2 linked regions of the Rattus norvegicus genome follow. The main gene of each other region encodes a partner of the protein of the gene in region 2 in a complex. Links are inferred from orthologs where the notes say so. Each region holds a gene or a part of one and is shown on either strand. Other genes may lie near its edges. The genes, in order: Asdurf and Uxt.

Region 1 (4,437 bases), on a different chromosome or scaffold from region 2:
CCATTGTTGGTGGGTTTGCAAGCTGGTACAGCCACTCTGGAAATCAATCTGGAGGTTCCTCAGAAAATTGGAAGTAGTACTATCTTAGGACCCAGTTATACCACTCCTGGGCATATACCCAAAAGATGCTCTAACGTATAACAAGGACACATGCTCCACTATGTTCACAGTAGCCTTATTTATAATAGCCAGAAGCTGGAAAGAATCAAATAACCCTCAACAGAGGATGGATATAAAATGTGGTATATTTCTACAAAAATAATGACTTCATGAAATCCATAGGCAAATCGATGGAACTAGAAAATATCATCCCTAGTGAGGTAACCCAATCACAAAAAAAAAAACAAAAAACAAAAAAACAAAAAAAAAAAAACCACATGGTATGCACACTCACTGATAGTGGATATTAGCCAAAAATCTCGAATTACCCAAGATCCAATCCACAGACCACATGAAGCTTAAGAAGGACGACCAAACTGTGGATGCTTCAGTTCTTCTTAAAAGGGGGAGTAAAAATATTCATAGGAGGAGATATGGAGACAAAGCTTGGAACAGAGACTGAAGGAATTGCCATTCAGAACCTGCCCTACCTGAGGTTCCAGCCCATAAACATACAATATTTCTGATGCCCAGAAGTGCATGCTGACAGGAGCCTGATACAGCTGTCTCCTGAGAGGCTCAGTCAGAGCATTACAAATACACAGGCAAATGCTAGCAGCAAACCATTGAACTGAGAACGGGGTACCATTGGAGGAGTTAGAGAAAGGATTGAAGGAGGTGAAGGAGCTTGCAACCCCATAAGAACAACAATACCAACCAACCAGAGCTCCAGGGACTAAATCACCATCCAAAGACTATATACATGGACAAACCCATGGCTACAGCTGCATATGTAGCAGAGTATGGCCTTGTTGGGCACTAAGGGGAGGAAAAGTCCTTGGTCTTACCAAGGCTGGATCCTCATTGTTGGGGAATGTCAGGGTGGGGAGGTGGGAAGCGGTTGGTGGTTGGGGACGGGGAACACCTTCATAGAAGAAGGGGAAGTGGGGATGGGATACGGTGTTTATGAATGGGAAACCGGAAAGGGGAATAACATTTGAAATGTAAATAAAAATATCCAATTTAAAAAATTAAAAAAAAAAAGCCAAGACCACAGTGTTAGGCACACTACTGATTAGTGATTTATTTTTACATAGCATCCGCTAGGGGGCAACACAGACCATTCATAGACTCTCCAGCCAAGCCAGACGAACCTTTAGCCAAAACTAATGTGCGCTGATGCACAGCTACTTAAAGTCGGAGTTCCAGGATCTAGTATCCACGCCTGCTACTGAGCAGGCGTAAATATGCGCACTCCATTGGTCGAGGTTCCGGAAGGGGCAGGGTCCTGAAAGGAACACTGGCTTCCGGTTGGGCCTGCCGCCTGCTGTTTCATCCACCGCGGTTCCTCCGTTCGGTGCGGCGTGGCGATGCCTAGCGGTGCGGAGCACCCCGGAGACAGCGCCGCGCCGGGACCCACCCGCACATCGACCGCGCACGCCGAGGCCCTTAGCAGTAAGGTGCCGTGGGACGCCGAGGATGGGCGGTGGGCGGCGGGCGGCGGGAAACGGGTCCCGCGGTCGCATCGGTGCCCAGTAGCCTCACCGGTCCATTCTCAGCACCGGCCGCTGGTTTCCCCTGCGTCCTGCAGATTTGCTATGATGGAGGCACAGATTTATCCACTGCAAACAACAGTGATACTGAGACAGAGGTCTTAATGACGTTTTTCCTTTACGCGTTTGCACCACTCTCCTCTCGGAACCCTTCACACATGTGATCTGTTGCTCGTTGGCTGTGCTTCATCCATTTAGCCATGTACCCGCCTGGACGCCATCCATGACGTCCATCATGAAAGTTTAGAAATCTGCCCGTTCTTCCAGACTCAGGCAAAATTTTCTTAACCGAAGTTATCAGTTGCCTGTTGACCTTAAAATATATTCTCACCTTTAAGTGATCCTAAAAACATCAGTTTGGTCATCTCTTTATTATTCAACCAGGACTGTAGCAGATTAATTTTTTCCCTTCCTCTTTTTGGGATAGGGTTTCATAAGTAGCTCAGGCCAGCCTCAAATATTGTTTGAGGATCACCTTGAATTATTCTCTTGCCTAATAGTCAGGATTTCAGGGAGGCAACCCCATACCTGAACTGTACAGTGATCTCAACTTCCAGTTACAGACAAAAATCTTTAAACGTGTGGATTGGAGGGGGTGTGGGTGCAGCCTTTTCAGTTATTAAACATCCTGAATTCCATATTTTTTTTCTGTCCTGTATGACATCTTCAGTACATTGCCTTATTTCCAGTGTGCCACAGTATTCTGTGGTGTCACCTAAAGTGAGATATATTATATACCTGTCGTTTGTAGTGAGCATAAAAGCGCTGTACAAGCAGCCTTGAATCTCAGGGAGGGTGTACTCAATGTAGCTTTGTCGTATGTTAGTACAGCTCTTAGCACTGCCCATGCACACTCATTTGGGTGGGGATGAGTTTTCAGAATACTCTGGCTACTGCCATAGCAAGCCTCTTGGCACTGTGTAGCTGTGTCAGTGTAGACTTATTGCCTATTTGGGCATTTCATCTGATGATAAGGAACAAACTGAGCTTAAGGATACCAGCAGTATGCTGTCCTTAATACTCAAAATAGAATGATACAAGGGTGGGAGATGATGTTGTACCACTGCAGGAAGGGCGTTCGTTCAGTACCGTTCCGTTCATTTTATCCGAATGTCTGGCTGTCATCCAGTGCATACATCATAAAACCACTGGCTATTGGTAAAGAGGAGAAGCCACATTCATTTCTCTTTTTTAGTCTACAGCCAGGCCTTATAAAATTAAAAGATTGGTATTAATTTGGCTAGACAGTGTCTCACCCTGGTTAAAGATGTGAGCTGTGGTAACTGGCGCCTGGCAAGTCTAAGTCAGCTTCTTTCTCCAGCTGTCTTCTACTGGTTCCAGCCTGAGTGTGGTTGCATCTGTACAGTATCCATTTAGACAGGCAGTCCATGACAGGCCCCAGTCCCATGTTTTGTTTTAAAGCAGTTGCTAAAAATGTGCTCACTAAACATAGTTTGAAAACTTCCACTTTAGGTTTTTTTCTTTACTTTAATAGATTAAAGAACAGAAAGTTATTGTGGATGAACTTTCTAACCTGAAGAAGAATCGGGTAAGTTGCTGTGGGAATCTGAATAGTATATATATATATAATATTAAAATTATGATTTAGATTATTTATGCTAACATTGCAAAATTCAAACATCGTAATTTAAAAACTAAAGTGATATCCTCATTTGGTTTTGCATGTTTTAAATTTGTTCTTCCTGTATAAGTCAGTAGATCTCAAAGATGAAAAAATTATATTTTAACAAAAAAGAATGAAGTTTTCCATAGAAAACTTTAATATTCCAAATACTTAACCCATTTCATGGCTTTTAAATAAATGTGTTAATAAATCAGCTACAATTAACTAATAATCGACATTTCTGATATTGTCATTTGTGAAATATTAGATGCTAGGGCAAATTAATACAGAAATTTTTGGAGATCAAACTGGCAAAATGAGTAAATGCTGTATGACACTTCAGAGTAACCGGTGTGGAAGCAGTTGTGAGGATGAATGCGTGTTTACCTGCAAAGGTACTTGCCAGCATCTGTAGTGAAGAGTTGACAGAACAGTAAATGACTGAGCTTGAAGGCAGTAAAGAACTATACATTGTACCAATGTGGTGATATAAAAGAACCTTCCTTGGTCAGAAAAGATCTCCATGTATTATTCGTTTATGAACTAAATTATAAACCTGTTGCTGTGATAGCCTTTGTTATTTGAAAGACTATGGTGTGATGACACATGTGAAGCAAACAACCGTCTCTGGGTGGCATAGTGATCAGTGACTTTGTTTATCTGTGGTAATCACTCTTCTGAATATTCCTGAAGTTCAAGAGTGGGTGATAAGAGGATCCTGTTCAACATCACTGTGCAAGTCGCATTCTTCTTTTTTATTAGCATGTCATGGGTACTGCGGCCTGAAGCATGGACTTTCAGTGCAAGGACATGATTGTCATGACCCTGGGACACCACTCATGGGTGGCTAGGAATATTGGTGCTGTATGATGGAGTGAATGGACTGTGACATAGTAGGTGCTCTCATAGCACAACACAGGAGAAAGCAGAATACAGACTTCATTGCCAATGATTAAGAACCACTGTCAGTTCTGTAACCAATGCTAAGGGAGCCTTGGGAGCCTTTTCCTCTTGCAATTGAGGCAGAGCTTTCGTTCATTTCTTGAGAGCTTTGACTGCTCAGGACTATAGCCAAGCAGTACCTTATCACAGTGCGTGCTTGCTTGCTGGCTTTCTTCCTTTCTTTTATTGGATATTTCTTTATTTACATTTCAAATGTTA
Region 2 (4,479 bases):
GCTAGTCCATCCAAACTGTTCTCCTTAATAAAGATTAACTAATATTTTATAGCTCCCTAATACCTGTTTTAAGCACACCAAATTGAATTTTAAATATATGTAGCACGAAATTTTGGTTTTGGTTTTGGTTTGGGGGACAAGGTATCAAGCAGAAATTCATTTAAGATGATTTTCTTAAAATTTGTCTCTGTTTAAACATTTTTATGTGCCCTTTGGAGGGTGAAAACCAAACTATGTGTGTAATACACACACACACACACACAGAGAGAGAGAGAGAGAGAGAGAGAGAGAGAGAGAGAGAGAGAGAGAGAGAGAGCGCGAGCCACAAGATATCCTGCCTTCCTTATAGATTAGTACCATAATACTTGCTGGTCTATAGGCACTCTTGTGCTTTTTAAATTATTAAATGCTTAAGTGGTCTCAGTGAGGTTTTTGTTTGTTTGGTTTTGATTTGGTCTTTTGTTTTAAAGAGAATATGAAATTGGAAGGGGAATGTGGTAGGAAGGGTCTAGGACGAGTTGGAGGGAATAGGGAGTGGAGATAATGAAAATATATTGCATACATCTATGAAATTCTCAAAGACTAGAAATGTTTCTAAAAGAAAAAAGTAGGGACTATATGGATACCTCAGTAGTTAAGAGCATTGGCCATTCGATCCCAGCATCCACATGGTGCACACAAACTGCCAGTAGTTCCAATTCCAGGGAATCCCACAACTTCTTCTACCCTTTGTGGGCACTGCACACATGTGGTGCATAAACATGCAAACAAAACACATAAAATAGGAAGGAATTTAAGAGTGGGGAGGGAGGAATACAGAAATGGTTCATCAGTTAAGAACACACAACTCTTGCAGAGAATGTGAACTCCATTATCAGCACCCACATCACGGTAGCTCACAACTGCTCTCACACACACTTCAAAGAAATTATAAACACTTAACTCCCTCTCCCTACCTTCCTGTAAGTCCACCTTTCCTCAGAACCCGCCAAAACTCATTAAACGTCACCCAAACCAGTCTCCCGCCAGCTCGCGACTATTTATTTGCCTGCAGGCCAACAGCGTGACCCTGCTACCTCCAGGGACTCATTCAGGCCCCGCCTGCAGCTCTTCCCTTAAATGCGTCTTCTCGCACGAAGGGCAGCCCCGCCCCATCGATTATGGTTGGCTCTGGTGCTGGAAATGCGTCATCCATCCGCGCCAGCCGGAAGCCGCGGTTCGTTATAACAGTTATTGCTGGTGGCCCCTAGGTGAACGTCGCGGTTGCGTATCGGTGAGTGAACTAGTCCTAAAGTAGGGTTGGGCAGAAGGAACTCCATAGCACGAGTCGAAAGAAGTCGTGCACAATATGAGAACTTTGTGAAGTTAAACTGGAGCGCTCAACGTGGGTCCTCCCCCTTCAATCCCCAGGAGCACATAATGGCGACGCCCCCGAAACGGCGGGCCTTGGATACGGTGGGGGAGAAAGTGCTGCGGTATGAGGCCTTTATCAGTGACGTACTGCAGCGAGACTTGCAGTGAGTGGCAACGCGGGAGGCGTGACGTTTGAGAAATTCGACGTGGTGGGTGGGATTGAATGCGGCCAAACTTTCGGGTTGGCCAACCAGATTTCTGGGAAGAAGGTTGACTTCTGGGCTGAGATTTGGTTGGAACTTATCCCTTTAGCAGAGCTCCGACCATGTTTGTTGGTTTAAAATAGTCATTCCGAACCTAATGTGTTTCTAACTAAGCCATTTAATTAATATTTATGAACAAGTTGTACCTTACTTTGCCTCTCTAGGCTTTATGAACTTCGTTCATCTGTGAAATGGAAAAGTTTATTAGGCCTTTTTAACGTGGTGTTTGAGTTTTAAATGTGTCAACTCCAACACATTCTGCCACAGGAGGGAGAAGCAAGAGGATCTTTGTAAGCTGGAGACCAAACTGGGCTACAGACTGTCTCAAAGGGGGAAAAGTAGAATAAAGCCAGGCTCAGGCTCCATGGTGTGTGCCATCTCTAGTGGAGAGATGGGGAAATTCACGTTTTTAGCCAGGATTACAAGCCAGCCTTGAAATATATAACAATATTTTATTTAAAAAAAAAAAACTAGTGTGGTGACAGAGGCCTGCAATCCCTGTACTTGGGATGGTATCAGAAGCAGGATAATCCAGAGTTCAGGGTAACCTTCACTTACATTTCGAGGTTGTGTATGGCCTGGGCTCTGATATTATGTCTCAAAACAAGCAAATTAGGGCCAGCAAGATGGCTTGCCTCCAACACCATGCCCTAACGTAGATCTCTAGGAGCCACATGATGGAAGGAAAAAGATTCCCAAAAAGCTTCCAGGTGTATCATGGCACCTATACATGCACACAAAATAAACACATGTTTAATGCAGATAAACCCAACTACTATTATATTGAGGCTGAGAGGAGAGGATTGTTTGGTGTGATTACAAATTCAATACCAGCGTGAGAAACTCAGATATTGTCTCTGGAAATAACCTGGATAACTTTTATGAAAAAGGAATTTGCCTCCAGTGCCTGAAATACACTAAAAGCTCAACAACTAGATGATTACTATTGCTGTCATTACTAATCTGAATAAAAAGTTAGGTATTGAGAACTAGGGCTGTGTAATCATGCTAAAAGAAACGGGGAGGTATATTTAGGGTGAAGATGGGACATTTTAATTGGCATAAGTCACTGAGTAAAATGCAATATTTATCATTGTAATAGGTTCTAAGTATATAATGCTTACCATTTGGCTAGCATTTAAAACACTTTGTAGTAGACACTTGATTCTAATGACTCCTATATGCTAATACTACCATCTCTATTTTCTATGTGGGGAAACTTAATCCCAAACAGGTTTCCTACTTTCCATAGTCACATTACTAGCAAGAGGTAGAGGTCAGGATGAAGTACAGTCTCACCTATATTTATTGAAATGCCGGCTGTGTCCTTATCTATGCCCCATCATGAGTGTTTGGGGGAGCAGGCACAGGGTCTCACTATGTTACACAAGCTGGTCTTGAGCTCATAATCCTCCTGCCTCAGCCCATGGATTGCATCCATGAACAACCCCATCTGGCTTAAAATGCCTAGTAGGGCATGATGTGCTGCATCTCAAAAGGAGTAAGACTGCCTAATATTCACTGTTGTATTTCTACGTATCAGAAAGGTACTGGACCATCGAGACAAGGTATATGAGCAGCTGTCTGTATACCTTCAACTAAGAAATGTCATTGAGCGACTCCAGGTAAAGGCTTTTAAATTGGGTGCCACTTTGTGTATATGTACAAAGAAGGGAGGCGGGAAGAGAACCCCCAGAACAAAACCTTTATCTGCCTTAAAAGTTGGCCACTGACACCTACCTCTTTTCTCCTGGCCCTATAGGAAACTAATCACTCGGAGTTATATATGCAGGTGGATTTGGGCTGTAACTTCTTCGTTGACACAATGGTGTGAGTGTATTCTCTCCCCTCTAAATTTCTCCCTTTTTTCATGGAACAAGTATTTCTTAGTATTTTCTGTATACCAGGCTTTAGTAGCTTTTATATTACATTAAGATATAAGCAACATGTTGTGGTCGTGGGAGAAATGAACACAAAATATCTGCCCTTACAGAGCCTTCACTTGGGGAATAGGAAGGAATAGGAAACACCTTAAACTATATACAGTATGCTAAATGGTAATAAAGACTTCTTCCACTTCCTCCGACCTCTTTCCTCAGCCCAGATACTTCACGCATCTATGTGGCCCTGGGATACGGTTTTTTCCTGGAACTGACACTGGCCGAAGCTCTCAAGTTCATTGACCGAAAGAGTTCCCTCCTCACAGAGTGAGTTCATTCCAGGAGGATAGTATCTAAAGGCTAAGGGTGCAGGGAAGTGGTAAGAACATTTGCTTAGCATGTGTGAAGCCCTAGGTTCTATCCGTATCACACACCACACAAACACATACACAAAATATATAAAAGTCAGATACGGCAGTAGTTCATACCTGTAATCCTACGACTCTAGAAGATCAAGCAGGAGGATCCTGATTTTGAAGCCACTCTGGGTGATAAAACAAATCCCTCTATATAAAACAACAGAAAAAAATAATAAATAGACATCATAAATTTCAATACTCTACCCTTTTCCCCGTAGCTACCTGGGATGGTACTTTAAAAAAAAAAAACATACTACCTTCCTCTTCAGGGCTAGAGCTAAAAAAAATGAGGATGCAAAGTTCAGCCACGGAGTCATACTAAACACTTAATAAGTAGTTTTTGTACTATTCCTTCACACATTTATTGAGCATCTTGTGTATGCCAGGTTGTGTTGTTAGTATTGGGAATACAGCAGTAAACAAAACAGAAGATTCTTAGAGGCTTACATTCTAGAACTATGTTGTTATATGTACATATATCTAGGTCCACATCCATGAGATTTTAATCTAAGAATCAGTACCAGTCAAAGAAGCTGCTTCTCACTTAACTATCTGTTAATTTTT

The links.
Region 1: Uxt (region 2) and Asdurf share a complex: the UniProt entries of both Homo sapiens proteins name them as parts of the PAQosome complex. The link is inferred for Rattus norvegicus from reciprocal best matches to the Homo sapiens genes UXT and ASDURF.

Annotation. Positions count from the first base shown.
Region 1 is NC_086027.1:55,617,387-55,621,823, forward strand, and holds the start of Asdurf (ASNSD1 upstream open reading frame protein), read left to right. Parts: upstream 1-1,412; 5' UTR 1,413-1,469; coding exon 1,470-1,559; intron 1,560-3,147; coding exon 3,148-3,201; intron 3,202-4,437.
Region 2 is NC_086039.1:3,678,491-3,682,969, forward strand, and holds the start of Uxt (protein UXT), read left to right. Parts: upstream 1-1,413; 5' UTR 1,414-1,419; coding exon 1,420-1,517; exon of another isoform or gene 1,518-1,562; intron 1,563-3,159; coding exon 3,160-3,241; intron 3,242-3,378; coding exon 3,379-3,446; intron 3,447-3,715; coding exon 3,716-3,823; intron 3,824-4,479. UniProt on the Homo sapiens protein: Involved in gene transcription regulation. Acts in concert with the corepressor URI1 to regulate androgen receptor AR-mediated transcription. Together with URI1, associates with chromatin to the NKX3-1 promoter region.